Linked DNA regions of Styela clava. The protein of the gene in region 1 binds, or shares a complex with, the protein of each later gene. Links are inferred from orthologs where the notes say so. Each region holds a gene or a part of one and is shown on either strand. Other genes may lie near its edges.

What was found. Proteins that work in one complex are often made in the same cells at the same time.
Region 2: mediator of RNA polymerase II transcription subunit 13-like (region 1) and mediator of RNA polymerase II transcription subunit 12-like share a complex: the UniProt entries of both Drosophila melanogaster proteins name them as parts of the cdk8 module of the Mediator complex. The link is inferred for Styela clava from reciprocal best matches to the Drosophila melanogaster genes skd and kto.

Annotation. Positions count from the first base shown.
Region 1 is NC_135255.1:4,004,902-4,012,963, forward strand, and holds the start of mediator of RNA polymerase II transcription subunit 13-like, read right to left. Parts: upstream 3,007-8,062; 5' UTR 2,790-3,006; coding exon 1-2,789. Other genes in the region: uncharacterized protein LOC144424452, read left to right, coding at 5,704-8,062. UniProt on the Drosophila melanogaster protein: Component of the Mediator complex, a coactivator involved in the regulated transcription of nearly all RNA polymerase II-dependent genes.
Region 2 is NC_135258.1:12,868,614-12,875,724, reverse strand, and holds the start of mediator of RNA polymerase II transcription subunit 12-like, read right to left. Parts: upstream 3,113-7,111; 5' UTR 2,763-3,112; coding exon 2,685-2,762; intron 1-2,684. UniProt on the Drosophila melanogaster protein: Component of the Mediator complex, a coactivator involved in regulated gene transcription of nearly all RNA polymerase II-dependent genes.

The sequences.
Region 1 (8,062 bases):
TGCACAGGCATGAAGTTCGTCGCCATTTTATTAGCTAAAGACCCAAGAGTTTCTACTGAAACTGCATCACCTCCATAGTTGACACTCGATCCAGCATTGGCAAAATCTAATTCGTTATTGATATAAGGTGTCTGATACTTTGCAACATCTCCTTTCATAGTAGCAATGAAAGATTGACTATGTGCAGCCTCATAGGTATTTGAAAGCATTCGAGTGGGATCATATTTGTTTGGATTGACTTTATTTGAAACCATTTTGCTTCCTGAAATATCATCTGCAGCTGCAGTACCCATGTCATCATCTTCAGAATCATTGAACATGTTGTCTAAATCAAAAGCTGAAACTTTTAAGTCACTTTTATCCATCAATGAGGTACCTATTTGTGGCTTTTCAACAATGGGGCCTTCATTAAATAATGACGGTAACCCTTTGGTGAACATACTACCTGGTTCTTGCTTTAACAGATTACTAAGATGACTCGTCTTCGGATTCATTTCAATATTATTGCCTTCTGTATTTTCATTGTTAGACCACATCCCGGTAGGTTGCTTCAAACTTATATCAGCAGTGAATGGCGAATTAAATGGAGCAACATTATCTGTATCTTTTTCTTCATCTTCAAATTTATATGGATCTGATAATACCGTCATTCCAGCAAGCTCACCTGTGATTGAACCTAGTCTAACGTGAGGTGGATTAACATGATCCATGCCTGCGGTCATGTTATTATTGTATGAAGGAGCTGATGAATTTTCAATGTCATCATTGGCAGTGCTTTCTTCATCCACTTTCATTTTTTTCGAATCAATACTCCATGCCAGTTCCTTTTGAATATGTTTTATATTATATTTCATACGTTTCAAAGATCTAAACGAGTTGCTGGATGCACTAGTTTCAGATTCCAAATGTTCTGGTATCAGAGATGGTTTTTTTGGTTTTCCAACTATATTTGCCATCCCTTGTAGTTTTTGCACTTGTTTGGGCAACTTAATTTTTTTCCAAACTGAAACATTCTCTTTAATTTCCCCTACTGGTGCATTTTTGATTGCTTCATCAGTGATAGTATATTGAAATCCAGGTTCTATGGGATCACTTTGAAAATTTTCACGAACATTGGGAATGTCATTATTTTGAAAAAACATAGGCCCACACATACCTTGTTGATCCAATGATTTTTGTTCTTCCTGATTCCATTGCGGATAATTTACAAAACCAACTGGCTGAGGAGGATACATCATTATCATAGAATTAGATTCAGGATTCTGAAAGTATGGTGCAACAAGTTGTTGATTAACAATGCCAGGCGGGGTTGGTTCAGCACTTGTGTGATGAAATGGAACTGTTGCTGGTTGTTTCTGTTTGTCTGATTTACGTCTTCCATCTGATTGTTGATTGCTGTCATTCATATATTTTAGTTTTCCAGTCATCTGGCTCAATTCATCATCATTTGGAGGAAAATAATTCAGTCTTTGTCTCGCTTTTTTGAATTGGCTACAAAGTTGGGGCCATTGTGATGGGCTGTTGTCATGAACAGTTAGAGGTTCAGGGTGATGTGGATGAATTCCATTTACTTCATTTTCAAGTCGCATCTCAGATGAAACGCTGGCATTGACGACTCTGGAAATTAAGCTCCTAACCAATGAGCTTGTACCCTCTGGGTTCAGTGATGTCATACCATCTCTTGCAGATTCTGAGATCGGAGATGTTGCAACTTCATTAACTGATAACCCCATGCTGTCTTGAAATGATCCGATTGAAGTGATATCACCTTGGTGGCTTACACAATCCATTGCTCTTCTATCTGCATTCCAAGGTCTACTTTCGCCATCCTTCAAAGCAGAATGGGTGTCGACAGGTACAAGTATATAAGCAGAAGGATAATTTGTTCGAACACCAGACAAAAATACTTCAACAACTGGGGGCACAGGCTGCTCAACATTGTCATGATCATCATACGTTTGTCTCTCATACATTGATATGTCAATAGGATAAAAGCCTTTCCATTCATCAATTACAGTTTTCACTGCTTGGTCATGAAGTGATTTATAAACCAATCCGGTAACTGAAGCACGAAGTCCAAATGGGCTTAAAATCACCGTTTTGGAAACGAGATTATTGGAAACTTGGATCAAATATTGATTGTTCAATCGTTCCACTGGCTGATGTGATCCTATATCAACAGTGGCACAGACGGTGTTTTCACCTCTCAAAAAGAAAGTGAAAGATATAGAAAGTCTATCAGATTTATCCACATCTGTGTCTCTTTTAAATGGTCGTAAAAACCATTTTCCAATTCTTACAAATCTTTCTGATAGGAGACACCTTTCAATTAGATTGTGAATTGCTTTGAATAATAGTGTTCTACATTCATAAGATAATCCAACATCTTCCCATGAATCTTCTGATTCAAAAGTGAGCCCAACAGATCTACCTACTGCTTCAACTGATGGCTCATTTTCATTTCCCCACCAAAATATCCATAACTCTTTCTTTAATTCAAAATTAGATCCTGAGTTCATTTCATCTTCATTGAACTGATGTGGGTGGGTCTGAGTCAAACTTGGAGTGCTTTTCTTCAAGCTGGGAGCTTTTCTCCAAACAGCTAGTATATCTTGTGACAAGCAGTTGCTGAATGCCACGAGGACGGGGTCATCAGATGGACTAACTGGGAGAGATTTCGGCCCAGAGAATGTTCTCCATCTCAACCCTGTTAAATCTGCCAGAGAATAGATAGACGAGTGGCAATCATCAAGTTTTCCACCATTGTTGGCTGATGTAGAGGTATTCATTGTGTTGGTAAGACACTACAGCACTATGACATAATGTTATTGTACTTAGTACAACAACGTAATGAATTGGACTATATTATTGAAAAAATCAAAAGATAAGAAATTGAAGTTTTGCTCAATTCCTCTGATTACCCAGCTTGGGTTCGCAGATTTGAATCCTGTGTGGGGTAATTATGTGCAAAAAGATTGACCCCTCGCTGTCGTGGGGTGGCTCACTTGACCATTGATCGTTACGACTCCCTCCGCCATCAAGTCCACGCATCTGAAAACAAACACTTGAAATAACTGTCTAACTAATCCTTTAATCCCATACCGTACCCATATACCCAAAACGGACTGGACTGGTGGTTCGCCATATTATGATTAAGTCATCTTATCGGCTTCCCTGTTCAACGGGATAAATATGTTAATCTTATCCTAATAACAGAATACAGGAATAGTGTTTATGTTACACAAGTTCTGAAGTTTGACGCCCGAACGATATCGGTTCGTGTCTGTCTTTTTTATTTTGAATAAATGTTTGTGTGTTGAATGTGGGTAAACTGGCTCATGTATATTTACATGTATTAATAGTATATGTACTTACTTATAACTGTATAAAGATACCTGGATAAACCTCAACCTCATGAAACTCAGAGACTTGAAATATTATTTTCCCATATTACCGGTATCTTACTACTGCTGTACTATATTCAGATATTAGTCTACGTTATTACAAATTCATTGAACTTTCAAAATAGAAGTGCAAAAGTTCGAAACAATTGTTGTATGCGTACTATACCGTATTCTGATATTACTATGGCCGTATGGTCTGATGGTTGAGTACATTGATGTTATAGTACGATATCTACCTTGAATATTCTGTTCTTCATTAGCATATTTCAGTATTTCTGAGTTTAATAAATGCGCTAGACCCCAAGGCTGGAAGGCGATTTGGTAAAGCCAATGGTGGGGCTGGTGAAACGGGTCTCGTGTAGTTTCGTGCCGCAATAACTACTAGTGGGCGTGGCGTAACAATTTTTGCATATATCATTCCCGACCCCTACCTGAGCACGTCATTCAAAAATTACGTCACTGCGACGTCACAATCGCGAGATAGAGCTTGCCAAAAGTATATTGACGATCACTTGTGAGGCGTCACGGCCCCTGCGAGTGCGTAACAAACTCTCTAGCGACAGCAATCTCTCTCGTATCGGATCATTTCGCAGAGCCCAAATTAATACGGTACTATGCAATATCTGGGTGCAAAATAAATATGAATAAATGCCAAGCATTTTGCCTAAGTCAGTGGCGGCGCGTCGATAGGCGCAACCGGGGCAATGCCTCGGTTGTTTGTTCGGTATAATAAAAAATATTCGAAAAATACCTCAATATCGGTTGCACAGACTGTCTACACTAGCCATATTCTCCCGACATGGTTCATTTTTCGCTCGCAAAGCCTTCGCCGAACGTCGACGGGGCGACGCCTTCTGGTTCGTTGGTTGCTTGGAGAGTTAATAGTTTCCTCGCCTTCGTTTTTGTCACTTGTTTCGCTATTTGAATCAGTTAGAGACCTTTAGTCCATTTGCTTTCGATTTTCCACATTCCTTTTGAGCTCCTCACTTTTTTCCGGCTTCGCATTTCTTAGCCTTAGACCTCATAATGAATAAGGTTGATGCACTACTTCGCACTCCGTTTTCGCAGCTGCCGCTGGAACAAAAATTAGAGGTACAACGTCTTGGGCCTTATCAACCAAAAAATTGTTCACTGGAACAATCCCATGACGGAGGAAAGCGTCGGCGTACATTCTGCGCAGAAACTTGGTATAAAAAACACGAATGGTTGTGTTACAGCGAGGACAAAAATGCACTTTTATTGTTTTTATTGCCTACTTTTTGCTACCGCCCGTGACTCACGTTGGTGTAAATTTGGTTTTAGAGATCTTAAACATCTTTCTGAGCGTGTCAGGGATCATCAATCTTCTATGGAGCATCTGAACAATGCAGTAAAATACCGAACATTCGGAAATGTTAATATTGCAGCACAGTTGGATGAAGGACGCGCGGTTTCTATTCGTCGGCACAACCAAAACGTCGAGAAAAACCGCCATGTTCTCGGTCGATGTTTTGAAGTTCATTGGTTGTCACGAGCTGTCCCTCCGTGGGCACGATGAACGGGCTGGCTCTTCTAATAGAGGGGTATTTTTGGATATGGTGGAATAAACCGCATCCCTAGATACAGTATTGAGAGATCATCTTTGTAGCGGTCATGATTCTAAACGGTGACCGCTATTATTATAACTAAACTGGCAACGGTAACTTAGGGCATTGAACCCTGACCATTTTGGTGTTGGCGGGATCTCTTTCGGCGTGAGCCGCTTGGAGGTAGGACGTATAAATTTGTATCTTAATCAATCGGGGGACTTTTGGTATTATTAATTAGGCGTAGTTTAAATTTACATCATATAATTCTATTTTCCTGTTTCATATAGTTATTATTGGTCCCTCCTGTGTAATAGCACTGTATTTTACCGGATTACTGTTTGACAACTATTTCATCATTATTTGACTACTATTTTGACTCAACAATAAACATCTTTGGACAATCGTTTCGAACTTTGAAAGGAACTCAGACAGAACCGCGTCATCAAAAATAAAGTGCCTGTACGATCTATTTATTCCAATCACCCTAACGAGCACATCGCCATCGTATGGTGCTGAGCCGTTATAGTAAAATACATATCTCTCGGGAGGACATTGTCAAAATCTGCAAGTGTTGCAGTAAAGTATTGTGGGGTGTACCCACAGACCCAACACATTGTCAAAGTCTGCAAGTGTTGCAGCAAAACGTCATATAATCAGTAATTTGTGCTGCTGAGAAGGCCGTGTAGGCCTATTGTAATCAGCTGCAATTAGATACCGTAACGACCAACACCATGTCAACAAAATCTAGAGAAAGTCAAATTACTGATATAAAAGATGATTTGGATTCCTTGTCACCATGTGAAACTTTAAAAAGCAAACCAATTAAAATGTTCTCTGCTGCTGACAAGTCCGGCTCTAGGCCTACTAGCAGTGAAAATAGCTCTAGCGTCCAACTAGACCAAGGCACAAGAAATAGTGACTCGTTGAAAGCAGCCTTCACTGAAATGGAGAATGACATTTTAGAAGCCATAGCCGACTGCAAATTGTCTTTCGTCACCTGCAAAGATGGTTCTGGAATTCAAGCGGTGTTTCCAAAACTAGTGCAGTATAAGTCAAGTTTATCTTCAATTGTCAAGGATATGAAGAACATTTTATTGGAGACTGATTTGATTAATTTCACACGTCGTTATCAACAATGTATTGAAAATATTATACAAGTTTCTGAAACTGCTAGTGCGAAAATATTAGAACTAGATGAACGATCCCAATGTTCTCAATCATCTCGCCCAACTTCAAAGCGGCATCGTTCTGCTCGAACTGTAAGCAGCGTGAAATCAACAATGTCTGGGGAAAGCAAAGTTTCAAGCAAAAAAGAATTCTTCGACTTGCAAAAAGATGTGGCAGCAATGGAGGCTACGAAAGGCATTCGTAAACAGCAATTTGATCTTCAGATTCAAAAAGAGATAGCGGAGAAAAAAGCCAGGGCGCTAGTTTGTCTTCAAGCTGAAGAGGCCGAAAATCCTTTCAGTGTTGATGTGGATCTAATGAGAGGTGCAAATAATTATTTCAATTCAAATAATAGTTGTTTTAATGCAAATTCAAAATCATCTCCTATTTTAAATGAGGCCCCAGCGTGCATGGTTATTGATCCTCAAATTGAGCTAAATAATTCAGATATTTCTAATCATGATCAAGTTTCATCCACTGTTGTTGATATTCCCTGCCAAGCATCGAGCTATAGTCCTGTAATCAATCCCCGACTGCCCATTACTAATGTTAGTGCTTCCCAAGAGGCCGTTTCCACTGGTATTGTAAATGTTGGTAGCTTTTCCTTGCCACCCCCTAATGTGAATTCATTCCCATCAGTGCCTACTGTTTCTAATGTATCACAAAATGTTTTTAATGTATCCAGAGTTGCTAGTGCTCCTTTTAACTGTTGTACACAAACCACCACTGTGTCTGCCAATTCAGGCAGCTTACCAACTCATTGTAATGATAATAATATCTCTGTTCCCACTGTGAATAGTGCTGCTCTTCCTCCACAAACCTGCAATCTTTCCCATGACATGACCAATTTAATGAGTAATATTTTATCAGTCCAAAGGGCTCCTGTAGCCAAAGTTAGGGTGTTTGATGGGGATCCATTGCAATATCCACAATGGGAGAGCTCATTTAAAAAGCTAGTCGAGCAAAGGTTGCTTGATGACGCAGATAAAATGAATCTGCTTGAACGTCACTTGACAGGTGAACCCAAAAGTATGGTTGAAGGTTTGTTTTTATTACAATCCGAGAATTCTTATGAAAGAGCTAAAAAGGCCCTAAAAGATCGCTATGGTGATGACAGTGTCATTAGTGTAGCCTTTAGAACAAAACTGGCATCATGGCCTAAAATTGGTCCAAATGATATAAAAGGCATGTTGGCATTTTCTGATTTCCTTCAGCAAATTGTTGAGGTTAAAAAGGTTGTAGAGGATTTAAAAATTCTCGATTTTCCCTCAGAGCTATGTGTGTTAATCAAAAGAGTTTTGCCCTCTTCATTGTTTAACAGGTGGAAAGAGTCAGTTTATGAATGGAAGTGTAAGTTTAATGTAAACACATCTGATAACTTGAAGGTAAACTGCCCCAAATACCCTCCATTTGAGGAGTTTGCAAAATTTATTTTAAAGCGTGCCTCAGTGATGCATTGTCCTGAGATGACAGTTTTTGATGAGAATCTCAACCCGTCCAAGTATAATACTGAGCAAAATAGTAAGTCTAATCATTCGAGATATGGTCATCGAATGAATAAAAATTCCTTTAGCACTAATGTTTCACGAGATAGTTGCTTGCATTGTAATGGGTCTCACAAAATTGGTGATTGTCAAACATTCTTACGAATTTCTTTGGTAAAAAGAAGGAAACTGTTCTGGGATAATTTTTTATGTTACTCTTGTGGAGTGAAAATGTCCAAGGGTCATAGTGCAAAGTCATGCAAAAACGTGGCTTCTTGCAGAAAGTGCAATAAGGGCCATTTGACATGTTTTCATGTTGACAATAAGCCAGAACAGACTGAAAGTAACCAATCTTTCTGTTCTGAAGTATGCTCAATAGTTGACCAACATGATGGTGTAGACCAATCCATGATTATCCCAGTATGGGTCAAAGGTAACA
Region 2 (7,111 bases), on another chromosome or scaffold:
GACATAAAAGTCAAGGAACGTATAACAGTGTTCCCATATGTTATATAAAAGTGTTCCTATCAATTAAAATAAAAAAGCAAAATTTTGTATCAGACACCATAAAACCATGGGAATTTTAAAAAAGTAAATGCAATATGCTTTCTTCCATCTTCAATTACTACCAATTTAATATTGATTGGTCCAGAAGTTGCGATGGAAATTTTTCCACAAGAACAACAACTTGATTCACAGGCCAATAATAAATCAACCATGTATCTAATGAAAATTAGCAGTAAATAATGATCCTGCTATGTTCATAAATATACATCAACTCAGACGTAACATTTAAATGAATCTTAATAAACATCTTATTCGTCAATACCAATGAGCTATAAATCATAAAACTAAATAGTTATGAATTTGAGTTATAACAAATTAATATTAAAATTTGAAAGCTTTTTATTTACAATGACCTTCAACTAAAACAGCAGTTAATAAAATGACAAGAAGCAATAATTTACTTTACATTTTCATATCAGTTACGAGATTTTTTTTTCATTTTTGCAGTGCCACACAAAATGTAAACTTGCCCTCCTCAAACTGCAGTATTCATTTATTATGATGTTATTAAAAAATATAAGAAAAACGGTAATTTGATTAGCTCTCCCAGCTATCCAAGTTTATTTTTATTCACTCATTTCAATTGTTTATAAACTATTTTGCTTTCAATGCCAATTCCGCGATATTCTACAATATCAGTAACACCTGCAATCAATATTGCTGATACAGATAGTGACAACTATATATACAAATAAATACCACTATATCGGAACAATGTAAATTTATACATAAAGTAGTGTTTGTATCATTTATTCAGTAAAATTAGTGTAGTATTTAAAGTAGCTAGATACTTGGAGTCAGAAACAGGACTAAAGTCAGGTTATAAACTTGCTCGTCAGAACACCCACTTTCATTCCGAGCTACCCACTATATTATCTATTATGTTTGTTTTATGCACCTTTTATTCTACATAGTATGCTGCATAGAAATCCTCAAAAAGAAGAATGATTGTAAATAAATACATAGTATATGCATATAAACAATCTTGGTAAAATGACCTCATGGGGAGAAGAAAGATCTTAATCATAACGTGGATGGACGACTACTCGTCCCTCACCAGTACAGATATTGTATGTTTTGAGTTTGCAGTACAAATAATTTATTTGAAAGTATTGATTTTTGAAAACAAATCTACAGATAAGTAGCAAGTAAAAGTTTTAACAATAACCTGGTAAAATACAACTACCGGTATATAGTAAAATAATGAATCACATCTCAATCCTGCACCCCCTGCACATAAATCGAATAGCTTGACTATGAAGTTGAGTATATCGTAGAACACGACTACTCCGATATGAAAAAATTGAGCATAATAATTTTGAATAAAACAAACTAGAAGAAGGAATTGCTCCAGAGTCATTTTTTATTAAACTCGAAACTTAGGCTTATAATAAGTTGTCATTGTGCCAGACCATATTTATACCAAATATTATATATTCTGCTCTTGTACCTCATACTAGAATATGTGCTTGGGAACCCAAGGTGCTAGGGGATAAAATAGTCTTGACCGAACTAAAGTCTTTAGTATTGAGTTCAGTAGCCTACATAAGTACATTGAGTAAAGCAGAATATGAAGGTCCTAAATATATAAAAAAAATAAAAATTAAACTCGAATCCACAAGGCAGTCACAACCCATTCCCATTTACTGGACTCTACCGGACTAGAAACCGCAAGAACGAAAAATATACGATTGATGGTAAATAATTGGAAAATTCATTTTCAAATGGCATACAGATATCAGAATATTAAATGTCGCCAAATTCTCGCTAGTTATCTTAGATCAAGTCAATTTCGATGCGATACGACGGAAACGAACCCGCGTGAAAAAAGAATAACAGCATTGGCAAATTTTACAATAGGATAAGAAAAATGTATTTATCCCAAAGGAGGGGAAAGCCAAAAAGACGGCCTGATCACATGGTGAACCCCATCCTCTCATCGGGTTTCCAGTCCATGTCGGGTATGGGATCAGTCAGCCAGTTATTCGTTTCATATGCATGGACTTGATGTTGAAGGTGGATGATGAAGCTGCAACCGACCATCGGTTTTGCGGACCACCCTCTGACACCAGGTAGTCTAGCAATCCTTTCGCACATAATTATCCCACATTAGATTCAAACCCGCAAATCCACACGGTCTTACAGTGTAAACAGAGGTGTGGTGGCAAGCGTATTTCTAACATTTAGCACGATGCGCCACACCACCAATAAGTCGAGATGATCTGACTAATCAAGCCTCAATATTTTTTATAATAACCGAATCTATAAGCTTTTGACTGGAGCACACAATAATAAACCCAAAATCCCAATCAACATAATTCTTATGATATTATTATTATTAATGTAGCCCTACCGGTATGTGTTATTTCTAATAAACAAATTTTTTGAAATAGTTAACAAACTTTTGTCCTATAGACTCAACAACCCAGTATTACAGACATACACCTATAACTAATTAACTCCCATTTTTTTATTGTCTATTTCAGAGAAATTGGTTACCTGCCTGTTGACTAAAATTGATGAATTAGAAAACATATCTATAAATGTAATCTGAATATATGATTAAAATATATTTCATAACAAACCTGCGGATAAACATCTGGTGGTCCAATCCTCGTCCGAATGAGTGCCCTATTTTCCAATATACTATTCAATGAAGTCATTTCTTGTGAAGATTCAAAATTCCACTCTTTCAAGCTTTAAAAATGTTGTCTCAAATTCTTGCTTGTTGGCGGGATACTAACTAGGGCTTTTCGACTTTTGTATGTCCATATTTTCTATTATCCCGCATATCGTCTTGATAATATAGTCCCAATAAAAAGCCTACATGTTCTGCGGGTAAGACGTTACAATTCGGCCATCAAATAGCGACTTCTACAGCGAGCCTGCTTACCGCAATCCGCACTTCTGATTAGCAGACTGACGCCGTGCGTGAAAACAGATGAAATTTCGCTACGCAAATGCGTAAACAATAAGAGGAGTACCCGCACAATTTTAATTGTATAAATTTTCCAAAGTGTATGTCGTTTTTCAACAAACAAAAGATAAGCATCTATGTAATAGTATTTTTAGCAATTAAAGCGAAGAAAAGGAAGAACATTCAGGCACACTTCAAAGTTTAAAATAAAATTAACGTGAAATATAGTGTCATAATAAATTTGAATTGACAAAAGTTGGAATTGGGTTGTCGCTGTTCAGCTGTAGTTAAAACAACTAGATGTTTTCATCCTACACCTCAACGCAGACAAATCATGTCGAATATATCTTGTTGTGTTTGAGAGACGTTACAGATATAGCTTGCAAATTGACGTCAATTGCTGTACGCACAGACGTCGGCATCGACGCCAGTATCACGCCTGCGCCATACTGTGTAGGTCACGCTTCATTGATCATTCGCACACACCAATCTAAGGAGAATATATTTGCGGGAGCGCTGAAGGCCATTTTTTCATGATATTTCAAATCGCATTTAAACGGACAACACGTTGTTTTTTGACGCCGTTTATTGCGTTATCTTGTTTAAAGTTTATTAATTTCTAATGATTAAAAACGTATTGATCATATGGCACACGTCGAGTAAAAGCAAGATATACTTGACTTCAAACACTATATTAATATGAATTAGTTTAGTCCTTTTTTACCCCAAAATTTAATAACTTAAGCTTCCACGGAACTACCCGCCACTACACCGCCTGCCATTTGGGTTTTAAACTGAACTCGCGATGTCAATTTTGATCCTGTTTAATCGTACAATATTTACTCCACCATCCATATACCGCGTTTCCCCGAAAATAAGACAGTGTCTTATTTCAATTTTCTTCCGAAAAATAACACTAGGGCTTATTTTGGGGGGATGTCTTTTATTTTTATTAGGAGAATTACGAGATTTTCAAATATACAAAATATGAAAACCTATATCCATTTACTTATAAATAGCACGTTTTTAATTGAAATAACTGCTAAACATATATTAATAACCCTTTAAAACGAGTAGGAAATATTTCTCGCTATCGATTAGGTCAAAAAAATTGGCTCTATCGACTAGGTGTTATTTTAAGAAAAGGGCTTATATTAAAATCATTTTTTAATTCATACTATGTCTTATTTTCAGAGTAGGTAAATAACACGTTTTTATTTAAAATAACTGCTAAACATATATTATTAATCCTTTAAAACGAGTAGGAAAGATTTCTTGCTATCGATTAGGTCAAAAAATGGCGCAATCGAATAGGGGTTATTTTAGGAGAATGGATTATATTGAAATCATTTTTAAATTCATGCTGGGTCTTATTTTCGTGGAAACACGAAAGTATCAGAATCTTAAAATTCTTCTGTTTTGGTACAGACGGCCTGCATTATCAGGAAAATAATTTCATATTTTTGTACGAGTCGTACGTCTATGGGTTATGACCCTTCATATCATTTTCGTATATTCATGACTAAAACGGTTGCAATCTATTTAAAATGTGTGATAACGGTCTGGTTTCGCATTTTATAAGCGACTTATTCATAACAGCTAGAGGTGAAAAAAAATACTGGTAAAAATTAGGGCGCGCTCCCGTAGTGTGTAAACCAAGATGGCGGACACCGGAACGTAGTATGTGTACCAGGTTAGGGTTAAGCCAAAATTTTATTACAATTTTTCTTATTTTGGTTCTACTACGAGTTTGAGGAATAGCCGAGTGATTTCCGCAGTATTTGTACCTGAAATTGTGGCCTGACTCTAACCTGGTACACATATGCTACGGTCCGGTGTCCGACATCTTGGTGCAAATACTACGGGATTACCAAAATCAGAAGAACGAAAATTGGATCCAGTGGCGATTCAATTGGATCCAGTGTGACAGGTCTCTATAGTGAATGGATTATGTTAATTGGTCAAAAAATGTCCTTGAGGGTCCATTTTCGTGGAGTGCGAATATATTTTTGTTTTTATTATTGTTATTGTCTCATTCAGGCATCCTTGTGTCCGTAGTATGTACAGATCCAAAGATGTTGGGGAAAAAGAAAGAGAAATGGATTATTAAAGATTGTACAAATTATAAGTGTTTTGGAAGCCCCAATTATCAAAGACTTGAGTTACGACTCGAAGTTACCCTAAAATGGTTCGTGGTGATAGGATAATATAGGATTTACATAGTTATCCGGGGGAGAGGAAAACCGATAAGATGACTTAATCATATGGCGAAACACGACCTCTCGTTGGTCCCTGTGGGGTATGAAATTAGTTAGCCATTTACTTTTTTTCAAATGTATGGACTTGATGGTGGGGGAAGCCGTAACCGTTAACCACCCTACGGTGGCGAGGAGTTCAGAAATCCTCTCGCACATAATTACGGACAAGGCCTATAACCAGTGGTGGGATTCAGCCGGTTCTATAGAACCGTCTCACGGGATTTCATGAGATCAGCGAACCGGTTAGCATTACTGGTTACTGTCAATGTTCTGTTTGCAACAGAACCGGCTGATAAATATGACTTTTGTGAAGGAACCGGCTAAGAAAAAATTTGAATCCCACGACTGTCTATAACACATATATATAGAGAGAGATTGTTTATGTGTAACAAAGGGCGCATACGGGGAAAAGAGCGGTAACTTGCGGAAAACTTTCTTTATAACAGCTAACAACGGCTCTTAGTCCGAGTATTACTAAAAGGAAATGTCGATTTGAGGAATATTCAACAAATGCATTATCAGCTTCATTTTATGATGCGGGTTGGTTCACGTAATTTCCTTTTATTGACAAGATTGCAAAAAGAAGTTTTGCAGGTTCCCACAACACAGTTTATTTTGTAACAAAGACAGCCTAATATTTTACATCGAGACTTCAAGACATTTGCTTTATATTTCTTCATAATAACATTATTATTAAAAGTTATCATAAAAACTATAAACACGCTATCGGCGAGCGAATACTCGTTCCATTGTTCGGATTTTTTCACCCCCGAACGGACAAACCGCCCCAACATCCAGCCTGCCATTTTAATGAAAGAAACGTCGGTGAGTTAATCGCGGACGAAATGGCCAGCCCTGGCTGTAAATTTATTGCACCGCTTGACAATGATCCATAGAAACATGAATAAAGTCCAGAACTCGCGGAATCTTTCCAGATCACAGTATAAATATCAATTCCTGATTTATGTTTTCCATAACTCGCAGTTCTGGTTGGGCAATTTGGCATGAGGCGACTCCCAACTATAATCAGCTTGGCGATATCTTCCAATGAATATTTCGCTAATTCGGTATTAAGTTTGGCAATCTGAACAAAATTATTGATATTTCGTGGAAAATTTTTATTTCTTTGTACAAATTTTTTATTTGCTAAGTAATGTTGTTTGTTTTCCAAGTGATGTATCTCCGTCTTCGGTTTTTTTTTTCTGATTTTATTTAATCTCTGTGGTTGTATGTATGCGCAGGTCGAATAATTTAATACTTTTGAGTGACCACCTACAATTTCTTTCGACAACAGCTCTGTAACTAAATTTGATTTGAACCTTACCTTTAGGTTTGCTCTCCTAATTTCGTAATCTGTTTTATTTAATTGTATCCAACAACTATTTTATGCCTGCTATGCTTATTATGGAGTCGAAATGAACTTACACTTACGTAAGCTGAAAAATTTGCGCATCAGCTCAACAATGAAAATAAAGTCAATGAGATACCGATGCCCTAAAACGCTATGTAACTATCTAAAATACAAACTCATAATTTTAGACTTTTTTGAATATCAATCAACATTTACACAAACTGTTACCATGAATAAACAATGCCGTTATACCGCAAAAAGAAGCATTGGGAGAAAGAATTGATTGAAATATAACAAACTTCAGATTAGAAGAAAACAAATAAATTACATTCTGGAACGCATGCAATTTCAGCACAAGGCAGAGACAAAAAACATTTGAAACTTTGTAAGTAGTATGCTGATTTAGGACATCAAATTCAGTCAGTAGTAGACGTACCATAGCCGTCACACACCAATGAAATTTAGCAAATAGACATTGAAAAGATC